Linked DNA regions of Drosophila melanogaster. The protein of the gene in region 3 purifies or fractionates together with the protein of the main gene of each other region. This does not show direct contact. Each region holds a gene or a part of one and is shown on either strand. Other genes may lie near its edges.

Region 1 (4,448 bases), on a different chromosome or scaffold from region 3:
TAATTGTTAATCACCGATCTAAAAAAGTTACTAACAATCTAATCACAAAGTTACTCCTCGAAGAATGATTTACTATCAATCTATAGATAAGAAAGACCTATAAAAGATGTTAGCAGCTCGAAATGTCCACAACACCCCGCCTCTCAACAATCGAATCATGTTCTCAGCCAAGAGTTCTGCAATTGTGGCCGTAGTCCTCGTCCAGATGGTGGCTCAAATCCACGGAGGAGTCTACAGCTATGAGGACAAGTGGGTGTACCTGGACAAGACCCTGGACCTTCCAGAGGAAGCGATTCTCGGTGGCGTCGATCCCGATGGTTACTACACCTACGTGGGTCGTGTCACATACAGCAGTAACATTCTGCCAGCCCGAGTGGTACCGGAGCTGGGAAAGGCCACCTACAACACCGACACCTTGGGCAACCAAGCCACCACCTACGAGGTTCTGGTGTCCAACGCCACTGTCGGCTACCATTGGATCCGTAGTTTCGATGGTTTCCGGGAAAAGAACGCCGTATCTGTGGGAACCAACGCCCTCAGCGAGCGTGTCTTCATCTGTCGTGTCCGCTGTGATGAATCCATCTTTATCGGCACTCTGTACCTTTCCAAGCGGATGTGCATCGTCAAGTACGACAACTTTCCGCTCCGGCAGTTCGACAAGTACGAGATCCTTGTCCGCGAACGCCATGTAGCTGCCGTCTCGCCATTTGTTGATGGTTATATCCACCATTAAATGCTGAGCAACAAAATAAATAGAATAAAATATAAATACAAAATATTTATTAAAAAAAAACAATTCCTTTCAATTTATTTAATGACTTTGAATTAATAAAAATAATTAATATAAAAGCAAAGTTTCCTATTCTTTTTTCTTAATTTAAAAGAGGTAGAAAAACAGAATAACTGTGTTTAAGTTTTTGATAAATCCAAAGAAGAAATTATGTGAATTCCTATTTTCAATTTTTTTGTAACTGTAACTATTTATTCCTTTGTTAAATTAATTACTTAATTATACTCGTAGAGTAAACGCATTTACTTGATTTTGATTGATTGACAATGATATAACAAGTGGATGGAAGCTTTTTCAACCCAACAAAGTATATATAGTTTCGATCAGGATCACTAGACGGGTCATTCAAGCCATATCCGACTGTCCGTACGTTTGTCTGTATGAACATGGTAATCTCGGGAACTATAAAAGCTAGAAAGTTGATATCAGACTTGCAGATTCTAGTCACTTCAAGATATCTTCCTAGTCAACAGTTCAAGAATGTACTGCTACAAGGGCTTGATAATTGTGGCCGTAGTCCTAGTTCATTTGGTGACCCTTATCAGGGGAGCAGTATATAGCAGTGAAGACAAATAGATCCTTGCCGACAGGACGAAGGATCTGCTGGACGAAGCAGTGCTGGCTACATGAACTACGTCGGCCGTGTGTACTATAATGTCCTCAATAATGTCCTGCCTGCCCGAATGGTCCCGGAATTGGTTAGGGCCCACTTCAACACGGACGAGGCTAACTTTGCGCTGAAGGCGTCTTCATAGAAACGCTGTAGCCTTCGAAAAGAGGGTGCATTCTCAAATACGAGTACGAGTAATACAAGTACGAGATACTGATCAGGCAACGCCAAGTGGCTTCGTTCATGCCATTCGCTCTGTAAATACATTGTATGTATACTGAATGCAAGCAAATAAAATCTATAACTCTTTATCAGAAAATAGTCTTTTGCGTTCTTAATTGATTTATCATGTTAGATAAGATGACAACTTTGATTTTTATATAAGGAAAGGAAATTACATGAATATTTCACTAAGCTAATTGAAATATATACCAACTTAAAATTTTATTATATATTAAAGAAGTGCGATATAAGATATTCCATAGGGGAAAATGTTGATTGTATGACACGATCTTTCGTCTTGTAAAACCTGTATGTCATGGGAAATTAAAAAAAATTGTTCTCTAATATTGTTTTATTCAAAATATATTAAAGTAAAACTTATAATTTTTAGTTTATTTATATCAGACTAATTTTGACCAACTTGAAGAGCATACAAACTTTTTTTTGATTCAAACGAGAGGGATATTTCGATGGCTATGCTCTTTACTAATATTGGTTTTAAAACAAAAGTTTTTAGTTGCTCATTGTATGAACAAACAACAAAATAAATATATTAAAGTTCCTAATTAAATATATTTTAAATCATTTTATGTTTAACAACTAAGTTATAGCTCAATATTATGAAATGACTTAGGGGGATTTTTTCTTTAAATTTCTCTTACTTTGAAAGGGTGCAATAAAACAACGATGCGTTAGTCACCGAAACAGATGCTATCAATACCAATCTTTTGATAGCGATAAGTGTAATTGGAGTCGAAAGATAAGAAGACGACTATAAAAGCAGTTAAGTCACTGGCCAGACACTCAAAGTGAATCCAGCAGTCCGTCAAGATGTACAAACTTGTCTGTGTAGTTTTGGCCCTGTTTGCAGTTGCCTACGCGGTTCCCTCGACTTATGGTGAGAACCAATAATAATATAATATAGAGGGTTAACTGAATCCAATTAACATAGCCATTTCGAACAGATACCGAGCACGTGTGGAAGGCTGGTAACCTGTCCTACGTTATTCCCTATAATGCCGTTGTGGGTGGCTTCGATCCCTACGGATTTACCACCTATGTTGGTCGTGTTAAGTACTCCAATAGCATCCTGCCGGCTCGAGTTGTTGCGGAAACTGGTACTGCTTACTTCAATACGGAAACCACATCCTCGAAGCTCCTCGTCTACGACATCCTAGTGGCTGAGCGGGATGTAAATTACGTGTGGGTCAGGAGCTTCGATGGATTCTATGAAAAGGGAGCCGTTGCCGTGGGCACGACGGTCAAAAATGAGCGGGTGTTCTGCTGCCGTGCTAAGACCGATGGAGGCATCCTAATCGGCACCCTGCTCCTTAGCAGCCAGAAGGTGTGCATCATCAAGCACGAGAGCTTGGCCCTGCGAAAGTTCGACAAATATGAAGTTCTGGTGGCCCAGCCTAAAGGCAATGGAACATACTACTAAATTCTACTACTAGATCTTTGTCTGAATTAAGTTCCTTTGATATCCCGGCTCCCTTAAAAAATAAATAAAACATAATTTATTTCAAGTAATTATATTTATTTTGTAATTCACGGAATCGCACTTATTCAATTTTTTGATATGCATCAAATCTTATTAACATATATAGTTCAGTAAATGGATTGACTTTGAAACACTTAATTTTTATAAACAGACTAGTTTTATAAAATATGATTCTCAGGCAGATGATGTTTTTCACAAATTTCTTAATACATTCATATTTCTGGCAAAGAAAGACGTCTCCTTTCACATCAAAATTATTAATTCGTCCCCAACAATTTTTATATCATATTTATATTCCATGACATTTATAGAAAAATTAAAATAAAATAAAAATAAAACTGCCATTAAAATAAAACTTTATGCCTAAAGCGAAAATTGAGATTGGTAATTTTTTAAAAATGCCTTTTTGGAAGGACAACTATTTCTTAACTCGAAATTTCTTTTAAATTCATATTTTATTATGAACTCATCGTAATTTTCTGTTCTACATGCTGCTATGGACAAGAAAATGTATATACATTTTAAAGGTTTTAACTTTCGTACGTTTTTTTTACTCTTAGTTCATTTTGACGAACAAAGTAAGTCCATAATGTCTTTTTTGATAGATAGAACAGTTGATTGATTATGGTATTTAATCTGTAACCAAAGATCTTGCCTTGATTTCAGTGTCGTAAACTATTTTGGTTAAATACTATGTAAGCCACTTTGATTGGCAGAAAGCTATTTGGCTGTGCTTTAATTTAATTTGAAGGGGGTTTTGCAACTATCAGTTTTCGCAGAAGTAATCGATTAGATAAAAAGGGAGATTGGCCTTTTGACACCGGATCAAATTGGACAGTACTCAGAAATGGTTATTGATAGGTAGAATTGAAGTCATAAATTATCGCATTTGTTGCAGAAAAGCTATCGGTTTACTATGAGTTACGGCCACAAGCCAATTGGTTAAATAATAAAATATAAAATTGTCTATTTTCCTTAGACGAAGTTTTTATTAATTTTTTGAATACATGCCAACTTTGCTAACAAGATCATTAAATATTTAACCTACATAAGAATTTTCATTTAATTAATACAACTGCTCGTGAAGATGAATACCACTAACAGGGTAAAGACTTTCATTACCCCGATAGTCCCTGAACTGGAAGCCTTCTCGTCCTGCCACCAAGTCCACTCATTATGGTAAAATCGTGGATCGCAATTGGGATCCCCCGGCTTGTTATTGGGAGGATGTGCCTGTTTGGCAAATTGCTGGATTCGCGACCAAAGATCCAGAAAGATTGTCGAGTTTTGATACTCCGCATATAGGTTGCTCCGCTCGCAGGGAT
Region 2 (6,473 bases), on a different chromosome or scaffold from region 3:
CCCGAATCGGGAGCTGGAGCTAACTCCCGGTTGGAGGCCGTGGAAACCATCAAGTACAACATCGAATGGCTATCCAGAAACGAAGCTGACATCACCGACTGGCTAAGTGGAACGGCCTCGCCGCTGACCAAGAAAAACCAATTGTAAAATTGTATATTGTATATAAACTGGCCATTTAGCCAATAATTAGAGTTGCATAAGCGAAAATTCCGTTCGAGTTCAATAAAATGAAATTTCAAAATCAAACCATAAATACAACCCCCATATTTTCATTCATTTTATCCGAGGCAAGTGGGGATTTCTATAGCTTCTAGGAAATAATTGGAGATAGGGTCTTTGAGTATATGGTCAATGCGGAATCATGACCATGCGTAATTATCCTGAGTAATTAGAGTGTCCAGTCATAATAGTCGATATATGGCCTTGTTCGAATCGTAAAAGTAATGGTCTAGCATAAAACGATTTTATCTGGACACGAAGCTATATAGTATATAGTCTAGATATCGGTCAGCAATCTGATCAGGTTTATCAAGTCCAAATTGTGGGGTCAGATTCGCAACTTGCATTCAGTTTCCAATTTGGCTTCCAGCCTAGTGGAAGCAGTCGAGTAATTTTCATCGAAAAAAGAATATCCCTAAAAATGGTTGCCTGTGAGTCTTCTATATAGAGTAGCATATCCCGAAGGAACAGTAACTAATGTGAACTCATTTTAGGGCTGACGGTTAAGTCAGTGGCCATCTTTTTGGGCCTGGCCTCTACTGCTTTTTGTGTGGCCACGATTGTGCTGGCCGTTCAGAATGCGGACCTGGAGAACGATCTGCAGGATGCCCTCGATAAGATCGACGCATTGACGGTGGACACCACGTCCACGTCCTCCACCTCTACCAGCACTTCCACGACCACCACCACTGCAAATCCCAATGGGCCCACGGATGACACCGAGCCTGGCTCTACCACCACACCTGGCGTAGGAGGTGACACAACCCCCAGTGCAGGAACATCTCCGGGTGGTGAAACTTCGCCATCATCCAGTACAGGAAGCACCACCAATCCCATCTATCCGACATTGCCGACAGGACTTCCTGATCCTGAAAAGGTGAGTGAAGTGCAAGAAAAATATATTTCACGGCTATAAAAGATGTTAGTTCAGAAAAACCCTCACACAGAGTGGGAAAATTTTCAGCGATTAGACGTAAAGTCGGCATGGCTACTAATTTCGAATTTATTAAGTTCCAACTTAGTCTTACTGGTCATTTCAAGTGCTTATCGCTTGGCTAGCGTTTTTTTTCCTCTTTTTTATCATAATACAAAACGGGTCTAATTTCTTGGGTCTTTTAAGTTAGTTTAATTGCGGCTAACGCAGTGTTAGGAGCCACAAAAATGGGACACATGCAGGACAGGATTAAGGGTATTTATTGATAACGAAGGAAGTTTTGGGAAAACACCGATACCGATTCATGTATATTTTCATAGACTTGATCACCGCTGAGCGCGTGGCTATATTCTTTGGTCTATTATCGACCTGCTTGATCGTTGCCCTTGTCATTGTGGCCGTCCACAGGGATAATTTATTGCTGCAGTTGGACGAAGCCAAAAGGATGTTGGATGTTCTGGAGGAATACATTCAAAGCCACTTGTTGTCCACCATTTCGGAAAGAAATTCATAAGAATTAGGGTGCTGGCAAACATTCAAAAAGATGGCTTTCAAATCCATATCTATTTCCAAAAATGGTTAAAGCAATAAAGCAATAAAGGCAAACGGATAAGAAACCAAAATACGCTTAGGTTTCAATATTTGTGTAGTAGAGCTATTGTTGTTTGATATCTGAAATTGCACCTAATAAATTAGGACCCTAATTTCACAACATTTAGCCACTATATCCAGCTAAGGCATATTTGTTGCAACGACGTCCACTTGGTTTACGACCTGACCACAACAGTGCTATTTCCTATCGCCACCTTATCAACGCATTGCTCACTTAATAGGGCCAAAGCCCATTATCGATGGCGTGGATATTAAATAAACTTTACGACCCCGCAGATCGAATGGCGCCTGCCCACGGAACTGACGCCCATCAAGTACAAGGTGTACTACCATCCCGACTTGACGACCGGCGCCTGTGAGGGAACCGTGTCCATTCAGTTCCAGCTGAACGCGATCACCAACCTGATCGTCCTGCACGCCAAGGAGCTCAATGTGCACAGCATCAGCATCCTGAACATGATGGCGCGCATACGCGTGGCCATCGATAGCATCAACTTGGATGAGTCCCGGGAGCTGCTCCTGATCACGCTAAGAGAGGTCCTCAGTATGAACAAGGCCTACACACTGTCCGCAAGTTTCGACTGCGATCTGAGCAGTCTGGTGGGCAGCTACATCAGCAACTACACGAATGCCGATGGAGTAGATAGGTGAGTAATTTTAAGGTATATCTTGCGATGACAAACATTTTGTTAGCATGTCTAGACTAAGATGTCAGGTATCTTTATTATATCGTACTATTTATGTAGCTAAGATCGTATCTAGTGCACTGTCCGCAACTAGTACGATTGCAAGCACACTTGTGAATACCCCCAATGCATTGGAGATCATCGCATGTTGGGGCCATAAAAAAGCCGGTCTCAGCTGATGAGAGAGCTTTCCGGAGAAGCTCGAGTGCCGTGACAACTTTGGAGCCCGCTTCAGTCGGAAGTTCAGAGCAGAGCGCGACGGTCGCGATAGAAAAGAGCGGACTCCGTCTGCAAATACGATCTCAATTACGATTCTCGCGATTCCCCTTTCTTTTCGCTTTTCTTCGTTTTCTCGGATTTCTCGAGTGCGCGCCTACGATTTGAATCAAGAATGATAGCTGTCCGGCAATTGCCGTTATCAAATTAGCCGAGTGAATATTCCTCGGACCCGGCAAAGTTACAATTAATGCCATTCGTAGACAAAAGAAAAACGAAAAACGAGACACGAAAAGCTGTGATTTCAACTGTAAATCAAGTAAAAGGCATAGTGCGAAATGTGACGGGAATAATAGATAATAAGTGGCCCATATCAATCAGATACCGTTGAGTCCGCTCCAAAAGCTCCACGCCAATACAAAATGACCATTGTCACCGCATCGCCGTTATGCGATCAAAATTCTAGTTTTAATTGGGCGCATTGAGGCGATCACTATTTTTAATATTCGCTGAAATGTGACCACCGGATTCTATGCCAACTTTGACTTTCAACGGGTATTCGTTTCGATAAACAACGGGCCATCGCAGGCTGGCCAAGAGAACTCCACATGGCTGAATCAAACAGGTTGCACCGCTCCCTTCCCCTCCCCTCCTTCTTTCCCACACCCCTTTGGGACCGCTGCAAACAGGCTTGGAGCCAAATGCATACATAGTTCACTTGCCGCGCAAGTTCTTGGCCTTAAATCGGCCACAATCGATGCACAGCAAAAAAAAAAAGAAAAGAATTATATCTATCGTAGCCCATTATCAGATTATATTGGTATGTCTCTTATCAACGAGAAGTAGATTCTGTTCGTAGTTGCATTCTTTGACATTTATCAACAATTGTTACCAATCTGATTATAAGAAAAATTAATATCACAGTTTTTTTAATTATCAATATTATCAATATTATAAATTGTATATATAAATACAATTACGGCAATTAGACATTTTACTTCTTCATTAGATCTTCAATTTGTATCTTCGATTTTGTTGGTAATCATTTGCTTATGATTTTTTTTGCTGTGTATCTGTGGTTGTTGGCCAGCAAATGCGTCGTGTTTACATCTTCAATGCGGCAAATACTCAATGGCCGCTGAGAAAATACTTTCTTCAAAAAGCCGCAACAAAATGGGTCGACATCATTGACTGCCAAGAAACTTGTTGTCATAGTAGCTTCCCCTACCCGTTTCTCGCTGTGTTTCCTGGGTTTGTTTTGTTCTTGAAAGTTCAGTCAAAGCTCGGTGGTCAAACCTTTTTTTCATTTTCATTGACACTGATTTCTTTTTCGTTCTTCTTGGGCGAAATAGAAATTTTTTTATTTCCAAACGGTGGGAAAGAACCTTCGAAAGTGGAGGGCTTTTTAATTGGATTTTTGTGCTAATAATGTAAATTAACGGCTGTTGTTGGCAGAATTGATAAGGCACTTGACACCTTTGGCGGTGTGTAAATTATACAATTTAACACCTTGAAGTTCATTGATCTACATGCTGAAATATAAACAATTTCATTGATCTTCTATTTATAAAATATTTATTTATTTATATTTCAATGAACTGTTGATAAAGCTTACATAAATATTTGTAAATATCGCATGGTTTCGAGTTTCCTATTTTCCAATATTGAAGTTATTTATAAAGTGTATATCATGAAATCTATAGCATTAAATTAAGCAAGTCAAGGCCGAAGTTTCCTCTCCGATTTTATAGTTTATTTGTGTTGAAAGTGATGCAACCCATTGATTAATAGTAAATTTATTTCGCATTCCGTTAACCCCAAACATGCAAATTGTGGCAATCATTTCTTTGTCAACGCATCTTCCTTTTATTTATTGTTTTTATTTGAATTTTCCCTTTGTGTATATCATAAATTGCAGGCACGTATAGTCGACCATTGTCAATTTCATCCCACCGCGGGTGTTATGGGTAGTATTTCTTCCATGTCTGGGATTCACTTTGAGTTTTTGGGTGTTTCTGGGGCGCACTTGTCACGTATAACTTTGTGTTTATTGTGAAAGTTATGACCTTAAAAAGCCCGAAGAACGTGTTTCAAATGTAAGCTTTCAGTTTCGAATTCCAAAATTTAAAAGCATCTCTGCTCTGAAGTAAACAAACATATAATGGAGTGACAAACAGGGATATTTATCTGAATGATCTGAATCTGAATTTATCTGACAACACAAATTGTTACTGTTTAGCATAAGAAATGATCCACGTTTCTTATATCAAATAATGTTTAGATTAATTCCTTTTTAAGCTGCTGTATTGCGCATTAGTTTTTTTTTTCTGTGTGCTTTCGACTCGATCTACAAAGTAGTGAAATTTATGCGACTCATTAGCGAAGTATGAGAACTGTTATGTTATGGCTTGTGCCCCCGCGATCATCGCTTCATCGGCTTCAGAATGCCGAGATATTCACATCTGTGCAATGGGGCGTGTCCGATTGGCTGTTGGAAGTCGGAGATATATGAACTCATATGGTACATATGTATATACCAACCATTGTCTGCAGATCTTCTGGTTGCTTTTTTTCCGGCGCTCATAAGGTGGTAGTCATGCAATTTTGTTGACTCCGATGTGCGGTGGCTTTGTGCGATGTGCGCTCCCTAATTGAGTCAGCATTACATCATCCGCGGAAGATGCAAGGGGGCGTATACGTATTATACCATGTGTATCAGAGACAATTGCCTGCCGGCTGGTGAAAATTAGCATATTCTGCAGCCTCGAATTCCTCAATTCGCACAATTCCGAGTGAATGGTGATCCGTGTGATACTTCAGCTGCATCGCGTATTGTTCTTTTTTTTTTGGCTTAATACTCCTATATCCTGACATCATTTTCGAAAAGCAAGCCGTGGATCATGACTCTGCGGGCAACTCAATTCATTTCCAATGCTAATAATGGCATCTGTAATTTCTTGCCATCGCACAACCTGCGGAGATTTGTGCAACAGACTCCGTAAATTGACAGGCAAAAAGCCAACAACCTTTTGTGATCCGTCAATCAATCGTACACAGCGAGAAAAACTATACACTATGATTAAAAAAATGCTATTAAGTAATCATCATTGACTATCTAGAGAGACATAAAATTGAGATGTTATAAAAGTATTGTATGCTACTGAATTTCTTAGCGTTATTGTGTAGAGACGCCTCCATAGAAAGTCGTATCATTGCAACAAACCCGGGGATTCGAATTGCAACTCTTGCGGTTAGCCAGCCCAGTTCCAACACCAACTTTATAAACCAAACTAAAAAATGGCTTCGAGTATTTGTAGTAACAATTTCACAAAATGACCAACTTCATTACGTGACCGTTGGAGGGGACTGGGGGACAAAAATAACAGGCATCTGATTGATCTGCAGCGAGTCGAAATTGAGGCAATCTCCACCTGGAGATAGAGTGAAATGTGACGGAAGCTGTGCTGCCCCGCCTCCTTCACCTGGCACCTCCATAAAAGCCGGGTCCATAAGCCCGGGTTTGTTTATAAGCAGCTCGGAGATTATTAAAACAGAAAAAACTGATGATGGCAGCGGAGACGCATGTAATTCAGTACGCGACTTTTATGATGCTCTCGAATTACCCCGCCGATGACACAATAGATTGTATGAAGTTATGGCGTTGTGGGACAGCCCCATAGTTGGCCGAAAAAACTACTGTTAGAGTGAAGCTTACCGATCGTGACATTTAATAATGTTTTCCAGTGATTTACTGTTGTTGAACGCACCGAGCCCAGTAATATAGGACTAGAAACAGCAAAAAAATA
Region 3 (9,062 bases):
GATTAAATTAATGTTGGCTGTCATCTCAAATGCGGATACCAGAATGAGTAACGCCATGTTGTTTTCGGCATTGAATCTGTTGAACTGTTCATGGGAGACTATATTCAGCACCTCGAGATCCACGTGCTGCTGGTCAGCCGTAGTCGAGGTATCCCATTCGCCAGCTCGCACCACCAGATCATACTTGGTTGTTCCATTCAGAATATGAGCGGCAGTAAGGACCACATTTGGATTAATCAGAGATCCCACTCCTATATAGCGAAACAGCCAATCCCTCTGGTCGAGCACAGAAACCACCCAGGGAAATGTCGCTCTGGGATTACTGCCATATGTTTCACGTCGTATCTGCATGCGTATTTCCATTTCAGTATTTTTTATATCTATGTACAAGTATTATATAAACTAACCTGATTGTAGTTAAAGTATTGACTATTCACAAGGCTGATTATCAGTGTCGTGAGAAACGCAAAGTATAGCGACATTCCGCAACGAGTGTTCGAATCAAAATGAAATCGAGTACTTAGAACTTACCCTGCGAACTCAGCACTCTGCTTATCAGTAAAATGCGTCGTTTTAAGAATTCCACAAAGTATTTTGAGATAAATCACTTGTATTATAAAAAATATTCGCAGCATTCGTTATATTATTTCACAACGATCCAAGCAAATGCAGTCTAATTTCTCTCAGCGAACTTTTCTTTCGCCTAAGTGTAACTTTTTCATAATACTCGCAGCTGAATACAAAAAATGAAAAGAAAACATAACAAAAACTAGTTGAATAGCGCATACATATGTGCGAGGAGTCAACAAGCGCACGGTTGGCAGAATGAGGCAGCAGATTCCAATTAAGTTTTAAATTTTTAGCAGACAAGCTTATGAATGATGGCGTTCACTTCGATGGCAGCCCACTTGGCAGATGTCCAAAAGGTTTGCTCTCACTTTCCTCCTGCCAAATGTGCTAATCATTTTCATTTGCTACGAAATAGCCGAACAAATGGTGAGCTCACGAAACAAGCGGCGCCTTGGTCCTTTGCAATGTTACCCCCCCCCTTTACCCTCCTTTCAAGGACTTTTCCGCATGCATTCCCAAGTAGTTGAACATGGGAGTGCCATTATGGGAAGTAATAAACAAGAAATGGAATAACTGAATTGTTCGGATAGAATTGCAGATGCCCTTTGTCCTGTGATTAGCATTTGTTGCACAAGTCGAGTGAGGCACAGCAGAGCACATATATTCAGTGCGCTTTCTAAATAGATCAATTCTGTGACAACATTTTTGAAAACGCTTGTTTTAGAATATCAGTACGTAAATCTTAAAGCTCAAGATACGAATGTACCCAAAGAGATATATAAAACACAAAATATCTGTAAGATACAAAAGCATCAGATTTTAAAAGTATCTCTTAGATACAAAAGTATCCATAAGATTGGTAAAGTTTGAATTCCTAGCAAGTTGGCATCTCCAATATCCAGCCCGCCACGATTCTCCGCACTCAACAGATGGTTAAAAGCTTCAATTTGACAGCCGTCGGTTCAAAAAGCTCAAACCCGATTCATGGGGGCGCCACCCGTTCTATTCCAAAGCATACAAATGCCTCAAGATGAAACAAAAACAGAAAATAAACAACAAATACGCATGTATGACCTTCGCACAAGGTGACTGGGGCAAAAAGAGAGCGCCAGTGAGAGAGAGGCAGTGAGCGAGCGAGAGCACAGGGAGCAGTGCAGGAATACAGCATAGCTAAAGTGCGAGAGAGACAGCAAAATGCACCGGCGAGATAAGAACCGCTGCATCAGCAACGCACAGTGGGCGATATGGTCAAAATATACTGATAAAAGTTATTATCTGTTATTGAAATATACAAAATTTTCATTCTTAAATGATTAATATAAAAATCGAAAATTTAATATTTAGTTGTATAGTTAAAAAACAACCTATATTGTTGTATTATATCCCCTAGATGATAATTCGTAGCAGTTGATACCCAGCGCACCCACTGTGCGCTGGGAGTTGTTTACAAGGGGAGCAGCACGCTGAGAGAAAAGCTCTGGCGCAAAAGCTATCTCCGAAAGTATGCCGAAAGTATAAAGTGAGAATCGCTCCGGATTTTGCTGCGAACGGTCGTCTGTTCAGGTTCAGGTCTGGGTTGTGTCTATAGTCTCCGTCTCCTCTTCGCTGTCGCACACGCAAACGGGTCTACGCCACACACACACGCGCACCCACGCAACGGAATCAGAGAACTATATAGAGCCGCCACAGAGAAGGGACATACATAACTAGGACACCATGTCGAAGCCCCAATCCGACGCCGATCGGCGCAAACAGATCTCGGTGCGCGGGATCGCCGAGGTGGGCAATGTCACCGAAGTGAAGAAGAACTTCAATCGCCACCTGCACTACACCCTGGTCAAGGATCGCAATGTGTCCACCCTGAGGGACTACTACTTCGCCCTGGCCAACACCGTCAAGGACAACATGGTGGGCCGCTGGATTCGCACGCAGCAGCACTACTACGAGAAGGATCCCAAGGTGAGTTCCGCGCCCATCCAGGCCACCCACTTATTGATTTAGTCCGTGGAATTTTCCAAAAAGAAGTGGTCGGACCACCTAACCTAACTTTATCCGGGCTCTGGAGTTCTTAGGCCTGATTATCCCTTCCTGCGGCAACCAAAACTTTTGAAATAATTTCCTTTGAAATATTTTTTCCTAAATTTCTTTGGCTATTACGACATTTTTTTCGGCCTGCTCCATTCTCTTTTATTCGCTGCTGATTTATTCCCCGATGCGCTTTGGCCAACGAATTTACAGTGAACACTCAGCCAAAAAAAAAACTAAAAATTAAATGGGAAACGATAAACGTATTCATAAATAACTGAAGCAGTTTTGCTTTTATCCCAAGTATTTCCACTATGTCTTTTATTATTATAAATGAATATTCCATGCAACATTTCATAATCCTATTTTAATCCTTATTTTCTAAAATTCTAAAAATTTCCGAATGCTCACTGTTTATTTGAAATTTCGGCTTTTACTGCATTTCCCACGCTTTCGTTGTTTTGCTACTACATAATTGTTTCGTTTCATTTAATTATTCGCGAAATTGCCAAAAAGCAAAGACTGCAATGGGATCAATGCCAAAGAAGTAGCGCCAAAAAAAGGTGTGACACTTTCACTGCAACAAATTGCAGAGGTGCTGCAAAAAGCCGGCGAATTTATCAGCCACCCCCTTTTTACGCGCCCACTTGACAATTTTCCCCGCCAGCTGACGAAGCAACAAAAGCTTAAAAATAGCTCTGCATTTAGCAGCTGTCGCCGAGCTACTATAGAAGTAGCTCTATCCAAACATATTGATGAGTTTTTAGTAATAAGTTTTCCTGGGGCCATGGCGATGCAGTTTAAGTAGGGCAAGGGTGCATAATAAGTGCCCCCTTTTAGCCACATCCATCAGATACACAATATATGTATATACATACATATGTACATGTATCCAAACACGTGCCCAAAGCGTGAGCTTTCCATTTGCAAATTTGTCAGCATCGGCTGCTAAACATTTTTGTCCTTGCTGAATGTCAGCTTAAATCACTTTCAATTTCAAGCCCACCAAAATGTATCTATTAATTTTCCATTGACTCGAGCAATTTTGGCGACTAGAAGTTCGAGCTATATACACTTTTGGGTGATAAATATTTTCAATTCAACTAAATTGTGGATACCGTCACGGCGTCGGCACACATTTTTTCAAGGTCAATCAAAGGTTATTAACAACAACCAACTGACAAAAATATCAAGGAAAATTTCCCCCATTTTTCCTCTCTCATTTTTATTTTGGCTACCATTTCGGTTTTTGTTCGTTCTCAAATATATATATATGTACGTATGTATATATAAGTTCTTTCAGGTTGTGGAACTTTTATAGGCCCGATTTTGTTTAGTTGTCCCCCCACATGCAATTAGCTCACGCAACCATCTAAATAGAAATATATGAACTGACGACGATTGTATCTTATGGATACTTAAACAGCTGTTGTTGTGCGTGGATTGGTACTTAGAGTTAATTGAAGACAACTTGGCGTCCATCGGTCTCTAAACCAATTTATGCAAATTGAAGAAAGTTCAGCGGGGTGAATAGTCACACAAAAGAGTTTATTTCCCTGTAGTTTTCCACAAGCAGTTCGAAAATACTGTTCCACTTATCACCAAATTAAAAGCGTTTAGCTATCACCGATCATGTAAAAATTCAATGCCAGGGCGCCACTACCTATTGCATTTCCAACTTCCTATGCACATCTGTCATTTATTTATTGCATATAGGGAAAAAAAACCAATAAACAAAGGCAAACAAACACTGGTCGTTTGTTGGTGAGGCGCTCTTTATCAAAACCGCAAAAAACATATGTCTGGCATCTAATTCGTCTGTAGAACTGGCCAGAACGAATATCAAAGACCCTACACAACAAACTGCTGTGGAAAACATTAGCGCCGGCAGTTGAATGACTCCAAAAGCTTTTTATGGATCTGGAAGATTACTCACGTTTTGTTGTGAAGCTCTTATCTTCGATTAGATAAGCTAAATAGGTTATTAGCTTCTTTTTTTTTCTGCAGCAAAGAAGATCATGCTTAGAATTGGTTTTAATATTTGGATTTTTTCCAACTCAGTATTTACTGAGTGCACCTCATATTTCATAACTAAGAAAATACCTACTTTTATAGTTCATATTTTGGTATACCTATATAGATATAAACAATAATGTGTTTTATCACAGCATTTCCATTGCCCAGCACATATTGCCCGAATCAGTTCATACTCCATGTTCACCTAATTCTGTATATCTTATCTGCTAAATGGACTGCAAAATATTCCTAATCGAAAGTCCCCGATTCTATATAGGCGCCTTAACCCCTTTCACCTACAAATATGCACACAAAAACAAGCTCTCCAAACATTCCGAACTAATTAGCTATAGTTTTTTTCCCGGATCGCATAGCATCAGACATCTGAAAGCATCATGTGCGATAGGTATGCGTTTTAGGGCATAGATTACATAGGTAGGTTGACTGATAAGGGATAGGATTAGCATACCCTGGGAGCCATTAGCTACTGACTGGCGACACTGTGGGCGATGTTGTCGTCAATGCTGATTGGTGATTGCTGATCCGTGATCGATCCATGATTAGCCCAGCATTGGCTGGTGATAATAATCGCCATTCCAAGCTGTATAGATTCATGCTTAGCCATGATGTTTGCCCAGCATGCAAAGTGCAGCCTGCAATCGCTTGATAGCGTTGCTATAAACCCAATTAATGCCCTCGTAACATCGATCGATAGATTCGCACTGAATCGAACCGGTGATAGTGAATGCCTTCCTCTATTTATAGTTTCCAGTTGGGTTGCCCTGAAATTACCGTGCGATTTTTCGCTGATAAGCGAGTATTCCGTTGGGAACCGTAAAAGTTGGAAACTGGTTGACCTTCTGGCCAAACATAACTAGGTCTTTCAGCCGCAGTCGGCGCCCCTCTTATCAGGCTTTCGTTGTATTATAGTTATTGTATGCACTGTACAGCTGAACCTGGTGTGAGTGACCCATGCACTGCGGAAATGCACGAAATCTGAATCCAACTCATGAAATAATCTTATGACATTTCGATCTTCCAATATAGTTGCTAATTAATCATGGATACAATAGATCTAATAACGACCCCTGTATTTTTTTAGCGCGTCTACTATCTGTCGCTGGAGTACTACATGGGTCGCTCACTGACCAACACCATGATCAACCTGGGAATCCAGAGCGAGTGCGAGGAGGCCATGTACCAGTTGGGTCTGGATATCGAGAACCTGGAGGAGATGGAGGAGGACGCCGGTCTGGGCAATGGTGGTCTGGGTCGTTTGGCCGCCTGTTTCCTCGACTCGATGGCCACTCTGGGTCTGGCCGCCTATGGCTATGGCATCCGTTATGAGTACGGTATCTTCGCCCAGAAGATCAAGAACGGCGAGCAGGTGGAGGAGCCCGATGATTGGCTGCGTTATGGCAATCCCTGGGAGAAGGCTCGTCCGGAGTTCATGCTGCCGGTCAACTTCTACGGCCGTGTGATCGACACGCCCGAGGGCAAGAAGTGGGTGGACACCCAAAGGGTGTTTGCCATGCCCTACGACAACCCCATTCCCGGATACAACAACAACCACGTAAACACGCTGCGTCTGTGGTCCGCCAAGTCGCCCATCGACTTCAACCTCAAGTTCTGTAAGTATCTATAAGGAGAGGTCCCCTTGATAAGGCAAGAACTAACCTATGGCTATCTTCACCTATCCAGTCAACGATGGTGACTACATCCAGGCCGTGCTGGACCGCAATCTGGCTGAGAACATCTCACGTGTCCTGTACCCCAACGACAACTTCTTCGAGGGCAAGGAGCTGCGTCTGAAGCAGGAATACTTCATGTGCGCCGCCACGCTGCAGGATATCATCCGCCGCTACAAGGCCTCGAAGTTCGGATCCCGGGAGGCGGTCCGCAACACCTTCGATCACTTCCCCGACAAGGTGGCCATTCAGCTGAACGATACCCATCCATCGCTGGCCATCCCTGAGCTGATGCGCATCCTGGTCGATGAGGAGCATCTGACCTGGGAGAAGGCATGGGACATCACCGTCAGGAGTTGCGCGTACACCAACCACACCGTGCTCCCAGAGGCCCTGGAGCGCTGGCCCGTCTCCCTGCTGGAGTCGATCCTGCCCCGCCATCTGCAAATCATCTATCACATCAACTTCCTGCACATGGAGAATGTGAAGAAGAAGTTCCCCGACGATTTGGACCGCATGCGCCGCATGTCGATGGTGGAGGAGGATGGCGAGAAGCGCATCAACATGGCTCATCTGTCCATCGTCGGCTCCCACGCCGTCAACGGTGTGGCCGCCATCCACTCGCAGATCCTAAAGGACTCGCTGTTCCATGACTTCTACGAAATGGAGCCCCAGAAGTTCCAGAACAAGACGAACGGTATTACCCCGCGTCGTTGGTTGCTGCTCTGCAATCCCGGACTCTCCGACCTGATCGCCGAGAAGATCGGCGACGAGTGGCCAGTGCATCTGGACCAACTGGTTGCTCTGAAGAAGTGGGCAAAGGACCCCAACTTCCAGCGCAATGTAGCCCGCGTCAAGCAGGAGAACAAGCTGAAGCTGGCCGCCATTCTGGAGAAGGACTACGGCGTTAAGATCAACCCCTCTTCCATGTTCGACATTCAGGTGAAACGTATTCACGAGTACAAGCGCCAGCTGCTGAACTGCCTGCACATCATCACCCTGTACAACAGGATCAAGAAGGATCCCACAGCCAACTTCACCCCGAGGACAATCATGATCGGAGGCAAGGCTGCTCCGGGCTACTATGTGGCCAAGCAGATCATCAAGCTCATCTGCGCCGTGGGCAACGTTGTGAACAACGATCCCATTGTGGGCGATAAGCTCAAGGTTATCTTCCTGGAGAACTACCGTGTCACCCTGGCCGAGAAGATTATGCCCGCCGCCGATCTGTCCGAGCAGATCTCGACCGCCGGCACAGAGGCCTCTGGTACCGGCAACATGAAGTTCCAGCTTAACGGCGCCCTCACCATCGGCACCCTGGACGGTGCCAACGTTGAGATGGCCGAGGAGATGGGTCTGGACAACATCTTTATCTTCGGCATGACCGTCGACGAGGTGGAGGCGCTCAAGAAGAAGGGCTACAATGCCTACGACTACTACAACGCCAACCCCGAGGTCAAGCAGGTGATTGACCAAATCCAGGGCGGATTCTTCAGCCCCGGCAATCCCAACGAGTTCAAGAACATTGCCGACATTCTGCTTAAGTACGACCACTACTACTTGCTGGCCGACTACGATGCGTACATCAAGGCCCAGGATCTGGTCTCCAAGACCTACCAGGTGAGATTCGATAGCTTAACTATGTATTAGAAAAATAAGTAGCAAAGATCATTATTTAAACCACGATACTTTTGCCTAATTTGCAGAACCAAGCCAAGTGGCTGGAGATGTCCATCAACAACATTGCGTCCAGCGGCAAATTCTCGTCGGATCGCACCATCGCCGAGTACGCCCGCGAGATTTGGGGAGTGGAGCCCACCTGGGAGAAGCTGCCAGCGCCGGAGGATCAGCCACAGAACTAAATCAATTTTTGATATTATTTTATTATTTATGTGCTTTACTTTTGCTAAAGTCAAAGTTCAAGTTTAGGCGCCAAAAGCAACAACTAAAACAAATGAAGTGAACACGGGCCACAGCACCGAATTGTTAATATTTTATTTAATAAAAATCAAGATAAACAATTCGCCTAGTTCTCTCATCACTGTGGAATCGAATCGAATCGAATCAACAACGGTACCTACCTAAAAAGACCTCAGGAACACTTTCAAAGTAAAAGAAAAGTCTATTTAAAATAATGGAAAGAGTTGTAAAAAACGTTAGTGGCAAGCTTGTTTAGATATCTGATATGCGTGTTTTAAATCGAGATTAAACCTCAAGTTCAACTGTTAAATGTAAAAATAATTTAAATTGAATAAAATTTGATTCGAAATAGAAAGCTGGTGTTTCACTGTCGCTTGGGTGATAAATAAATAACACGAAGGGTTTACATCTTAATCTCATTGCAAATGAACAATTTATTATTTGTTTTAAAGACAATCTGAACATCTATTTGGGGAATGAACTTTTTATACAAATATTATGGCTATTACAGTTCCCGTTTAGTAAACAACACAAAAATGTAGTCATTTTTACAATGTAATTGTTTGGATCTCTGTTTTAAAATAGTCACTAAAACTTGTAAACATTTCAAAAGTAGTTTCGTTCTTTGCTACAATGGATGGAAAGGCCATTCCAAATTCTTTAAAAGTTAAACAAAATGCGCTTCACAATGCACGGAACGGGCAAGCAAAAGCCCGGAGTGCAATCAATAGTTGACTCTGGAGGACCGAGCGGACTTGCTGATGTACTGCCGCTCCTCGGCCCGCGAACCGCTGGCTCCTCCTCTTTCTCTATCGAACTTTTCATGTGATCGCTCCCGCGGTG
Region 4 (5,317 bases), on a different chromosome or scaffold from region 3:
GCGCGGTGCCCAGCCAGTGCCACCAGGTGAAGGGATTTCGGAAGTATACGATCGAAAAGACCAGCGAGATGAACTTGCGGAGTGTGAGGATCAGAGTCACCGTCAGCGAGCTGCACTCCGTGGTCAGGGTGTAAACGGAGCTGATGCACAAATGCTGCGCAAGCACGTTGCCCAATAAGTATAGCAGGATTAGGGGCACTGCCACGCCCAGGAGGGGCAACTGGTAGGACTCGCCCGTGAACGCCAAAAGCCAGTGCGTCCGTATGTCGTCATGCATGAGCAGGAAGGCGGGCAGCGGCAACAGGTGGGTGTAATACAACGCTTCCCTGGCGCACTTGCCATGACGTCGATACAGCAACTCCTGTGTAATTCCCATGTAGGAGGAAACAAATAGAGCCAGCACCAAGAGTGCCACGCCCAACAGCCACCAGAACGTATCCGCCTCGGCGCCACTATCCAAATTCTCCATCTTACCCACCAAATCCGGACTGGAGAAATATGTGCAGACGAAAATGCCCACGCTGATCATGAGCACCGATATGTACTGACTCAACCGGTAACTCCTCTTCAGGATCAACGTGCACAGGCACATGTTGGAGATCAGCGAACCGCCGCGTATGATCATGTGCAGTGTCATTGGAACTTTGAACTTGAACACGTAGTTGTTGCATACGCTGGTCAGGAAAAACATGGCCACGAGGAGCGCATAGTCGCGCAGGCTGATCACTCTCTGGGCCAGGCCAAACTTCGAGGTGAAGATGAAGCCCTCGAGGGCAATAAATGCAAACTGGGCGCCAGTTATAAGGTTTCCAGCGCCGGGATCCAGTTTAACCAGGAGCTCCAAGAAGACGACGCCACTGCAGCAGCCCAAGAAAACGCCGCAGATGGCCGAAATAGCGCGGATGGATAAATTCATGAACTCGCGCAACGAAAGTAGACGATTCCCACCAACTTTAACCTACGATCTGGGCCATGACGAGCTTTTAAGCCAACTTACTTTCTCTTCGGCCATACAAAACGTAAACAAATGCAACAGGTGGTTATCGATAAAGTTCGGTTCGGGCACAGCTGATGTTGGTCTATCGAAAGTGGTTGAAATTCAAATATTCCAAGCGAAAAAGAAAAAATTTATGATTTTAAGAGAAGAATATTTTATTTAATGTACATTACATTCAAAACCAAACTTAAATATGTTGCCTAATCACATTCGAAATATTCGCACCAACAGTCTTTTACAACAATTACAAAATACAATGATGACAATGCTAAGAAAGAAATTACAGATTAGCAAATTAATGGTATATTACTTATTTTTCCTTTTCCAGCAAGGCAATAATTTTGTTTAACTTTTCCGTCTGCTGGGCCTCGAAGTTGTCCAGTCTCTTAGACACTAACAGCGTCAGCTTCTCAAATCTCATGTCGATGTGCTCCTTGAGGATTGCAACATCGGTGGAAGGCGGTGCAGTCTCTTGGGTTTGGTCCTTCGCCTGCGGGGAATAGCCCTTCATCAGGCTCATGAACTGCTCGAACTTTTCGGCCTGCTCCTCCTTCTTCAAGGGACTCGTGCCACCCCTTTGCAGCAGCTCTTGGATTCGCTGCGCATCCATTGGCCTGGGCAACTGGGTGGTTATGCCGTTGGGATTCGGCGCCACCTGGAGCAGGGCTCCGTAAACGCAGATCTCGCTGGCCGAGGTGAGCATCTTCAGGTTTATGTCATTTATCCCGGATCGGTCGATTTCCATGTCATAGCGATAGGGTCGCACCGCAACCTCTGGGTCCTCATCGTCGACGCAAGTGCCGTAGATGGTCTCGCAGTACTCCTGCAAGGGTCCAATGAACAGCTCCACCTTGGGAGCGCTGCAAATCAGGGTGAGCGCGGCGATTTTGAAGCGGTTCGGGATCTGGAAGCGCAGCTCACAAGGCGGCGGCGGATCCGCCGACTGCATGGAAAACAGCACGGCGCGATTCTCGTCGATCACGTCGTCCAAGTCGGGCCTGCGGACAAAGGAGGTTTCAAAATTACTTGATAAAAACCAGTTTCGGGGCGTGGAATCCTTTGTCTCACTTCACAAAGACGTCTTCGTCGGACAAGCGGGTGGCCACCAGTTGGTCCAGCCCGTTGCCCGACAGCTGGGGCCAAGTGCAGCGCGCGGTGACCTTTTCGCACATGCTTTAAGTGACAAAAAGTTGGAATTTATGGGAGCAAAATTTAAAAACAGCCAAATTTAAAAACCAAAACACGAATATAGTGATGACAAACGCGAGCGATAACATCTGCGCGGGGGATGCCAACCTGTTGCACAGCGCAAACTAATTGGACATTTGAAGGTAGCTTGACGCGCTATTCCAATAAGACCATACTCCGGAGTCCAATCAGAGAAGGCACCGCATCTGCGCACTACGTTTTTCCAACAGAACGGCAATATCGCGGCCTGACAGCTGCGACCTTGGACGGCTCCCTTGTAGGTCAAACTTCAGCAGAATTCCCACATATTGCAGTCGCAGCAAGGCGGCAGCTTAAGAACGAGTACACAATTATCCGCAGAGTGATCAACGCAGCTAAAATGGGCGGCAAGTACAAGATCGTGATGGTGCGCCACGGCGAGTCCGAGTGGAACCAGAAGAATCAGTTCTGCGGCTGGTACGACGCCAACCTCAGCGAAAAGGGTGAGTGATTACATCAATTTGAAATTTAAACCTCATATGTGGGATTAAAAATCTGATGTACATCTAGTTTCCAATCGATGATCCTTTGCTTTGATCAGTTTCACAATAGTATTCCTTTTCATTTACCCAAATTAATCTTCATTGACCTAGTGCAACATTATCTCATTCAAACTTTTCTGTGATAAAAATAGGTCTCTACAAACAAAAGCTTTCCAGTGCAATTTTCAGAAGCATCAAAATTCTAGTTTGTTACACTTTAAAGTCAAAAATTTGCCATCTCATATGTTTCTAAAGTTCAGATTATGCTTATGAGCATAATTTGATAGGTTATCGCCTTTTTTTAACCCTAGTAATCAAATTAAATTAAACGCATGCCTTTCAATTAGATTAAATTGGCTTACGTTCGTTACCCAACACGGCGTATACTTAATGTTCGCTAAACATTTGCCCAAACAGGTCAGGAGGAGGCCCTAGCCGCCGGCAAGGCCGTCAAGGATGCCGGCCTGGAGTTCGATGTGGCCCACACCTCGGTGCTGACCCGCGCCCAGGTGACGCTGGCCAGCATCCTGAAGGCCAGTGGCCACAAGGAGATCCCCATCCAGAAGACTTGGCGCCTGAACGAGCGCCACTACGGTGGACTCACTGGCCTGAACAAGGCCGAGACCGCCGCCAAGTACGGCGAGGCCCAGGTGCAGATCTGGCGTCGCAGCTTCGACACCCCGCCACCACCGATGGAGCCGGGCCATCCGTACTACGAGAACATCGTCAAGGATCCCCGCTACGCCGAGGGTCCCAAGCCCGAGGAGTTCCCCCAGTTCGAGTCCCTCAAGCTGACCATCGAACGCACACTGCCCTACTGGAACGACGTCATCATTCCCCAGATGAAGGAGGGCAAGCGCATCCTGATCGCTGCCCACGGCAACAGCCTCCGTGGCATCGTCAAGCATTTAGACAGTGAGCATGGGAGACATAACATATATCATATCATCTTTTTACCATATCCTTGTCCAATCCAGACCTTTCTGAGGACGCCATCATGGCCCTAAATCTGCCCACGGGCATTCCGTTCGTCTACGAGCTGGACGAGAACTTCAAGCCGGTGGTGTCCATGCAGTTCCTCGGCGACGAGGAGACCGTGAAGAAGGCCATCGAGGCTGTGGCCGCCCAGGGCAAGGCCAAGTAAGCACGCAGGCCACACCTCATGAGAATCCACTCAAATACGGCACAAGTCAGAGCATTCTGATTACGCTTCTGTTCAAGATGTAGCCAATCCCATTCGTTGTTGTTGTTCGCGTAGCAGTAATTGGTTCATCCCCACTACAGTTAATAAATAATTTATTATTACACTCAAGAGGACAGGCGGAGGAGGCTTCATTTATTGTCCGGCTCACTTCTTCTTATTCTTCTTGCCGTCCTTGGCCAATTCCAGGCCCAGGATGCACTTGGGCGGCACCTTGTACGTTTCCGTGAGCAGCGTGTGCACAAATCGCACCTGGTTGCCCTGGATTTGCAGCTGCTCGTGCTTTTGGTGCGGCAGTTTCACCACACTGGTGCTGGCGGCGGCTCCCTGCTTGCACAGCTTGATGAACTCGGCCAGGATGATGCCGTACGCCTCGATGTTGCTGACCAGCGTCACCTTCTTGTTGCCCGATCGCGTGGCCAGGGACATCTGGATGAGGGGCTTCCCGCTCGTATCTTTGCCGCTGCACATCTGGTAGGAGTGCTCCATCTTGCTGGTGATGAGGGAGCACATCTCGCTTAGCGAAACCTCTCTGTTACCATACAGCTCGATCAGAGTGTCGTCGGGGCGCACCAGCTTGGTCAGCGGATGGAGGAGACCATGTTTGCTCACGTACTCCCGCACAATCTTCTTGATCTGACCCGCCGGGATTCCCTCGCCGCGCTTGTAATTCAGCTTGGTGAAGAAGGCCGCCGTAACATCGGTCACTATGTACATCTCCTTCAGCTCGGAGTGGAACAGGGGCGTCTCGGACGCCGCTCCATTAGCTTCGCTTGCCTTGACATCGGTTATAAAGTTCACCACTTCGGGGTGCTCCAGGTCCACAGATGTGATTTTATCCACTCCCTTGCTCTCCTCCCGCACCACAATGAATCCTTGGTCCACCATCTCGGCCAGAAAGTTGGAGAGCTTTTTGTAGCGCGTCTTCTTCAGGTCGATTTGCTCCGTGGCCTCCGTGACCACATAGAGTCTGTAGAAATTGCTCGTCAGCAGAGGCAGGGGCAGCTTCTTTCCATGGTTTTTCAAGGCGGAGAGGAAGGCATTCTTGAGTATAAGTTCTGGTGAGGCTTCCTCCACGGCTTCTTCGTCGGACTCGGGAGCTTCCTGGCTTTCCAAGGTCAGAGCAGCAGTTTCCGTTTCCAGTTCCTCGGTTTGGGCCACCGTAGCGAAGGTCACAGGAGCGGGAGTAGCTGGGCTGGCGGTCTTTCTCCTTTCCGTCTCAGACCCAAGAGCAGGGAAATCCTCGCCAGACAAGGCCTTTGTCTTGACCAGCGGGATTTGCTGCACCAGACTGGGCTCATGCGACCAGAGCTTGTCCCCAAAGAGGTGGAGCATCTTGATGGCCACACCGTGACCTCCGCACATGTACAGTTCATCGCTGGAGCGAGCCAACTGGCCCACGCCCACCGC

What was found.
Region 1: the proteins of Glyp (region 3) and CG5506 purify together in Drosophila melanogaster (affinity purification with mass spectrometry, with the first as the bait; one large-scale study listed by BioGRID). This does not show direct contact.
Region 2: the proteins of Glyp (region 3) and CG32473 purify together in Drosophila melanogaster (affinity purification with mass spectrometry, with the first as the bait; one large-scale study listed by BioGRID). This does not show direct contact.
Region 4: the proteins of Glyp (region 3) and Pglym78 purify together in Drosophila melanogaster (affinity purification with mass spectrometry, with the first as the bait; one large-scale study listed by BioGRID). This does not show direct contact.

Annotation. Positions count from the first base shown.
Region 1 is NT_037436.4:17,882,351-17,886,798, reverse strand, and holds CG5506 (uncharacterized protein), read left to right. Parts: upstream 1-2,422; 5' UTR 2,423-2,453; coding exon 2,454-2,520; intron 2,521-2,587; coding exon 2,588-3,063; 3' UTR 3,064-3,150; downstream 3,151-4,448. Other genes in the region: CG16775 (uncharacterized protein), read left to right, coding at 158-733; CG7408 (uncharacterized protein), read right to left, coding at 4,186-4,448.
Region 2 is NT_033777.3:13,302,085-13,308,557, forward strand, and holds the start of CG32473 (uncharacterized protein), read left to right. Parts: upstream 1-2,679; 5' UTR 2,680-2,986; intron 2,987-6,411; 5' UTR 6,412-6,473. Other genes in the region: CG8774 (uncharacterized protein), read left to right, coding at 1-147; CG43208 (uncharacterized protein), read left to right, coding at 1,381-1,408, 1,474-1,667.
Region 3 is NT_033779.5:2,128,726-2,137,787, forward strand, and holds Glyp (glycogen phosphorylase), read left to right. Parts: upstream 1-2,087; 5' UTR 2,088-2,286; coding exon 2,287-2,529; intron 2,530-5,713; coding exon 5,714-6,242; intron 6,243-6,312; coding exon 6,313-7,919; intron 7,920-8,005; coding exon 8,006-8,161; 3' UTR 8,162-8,571; downstream 8,572-9,062. Other genes in the region: CG4259 (uncharacterized protein), read right to left, coding at 1-345, 408-482; tho2, read right to left, coding at 8,944-9,062.
Region 4 is NT_033777.3:29,145,886-29,151,202, forward strand, and holds Pglym78 (phosphoglyceromutase 78), read left to right. Parts: upstream 1-2,362; 5' UTR 2,363-2,564; coding exon 2,565-2,667; intron 2,668-3,123; coding exon 3,124-3,621; intron 3,622-3,683; coding exon 3,684-3,850; 3' UTR 3,851-4,016; downstream 4,017-5,317. Other genes in the region: CG14511 (uncharacterized protein), read right to left, coding at 1-916; CG11882 (uncharacterized protein), read right to left, coding at 1,308-1,995, 2,066-2,169; eIF2D (eukaryotic translation initiation factor 2D), read right to left, coding at 4,055-5,317.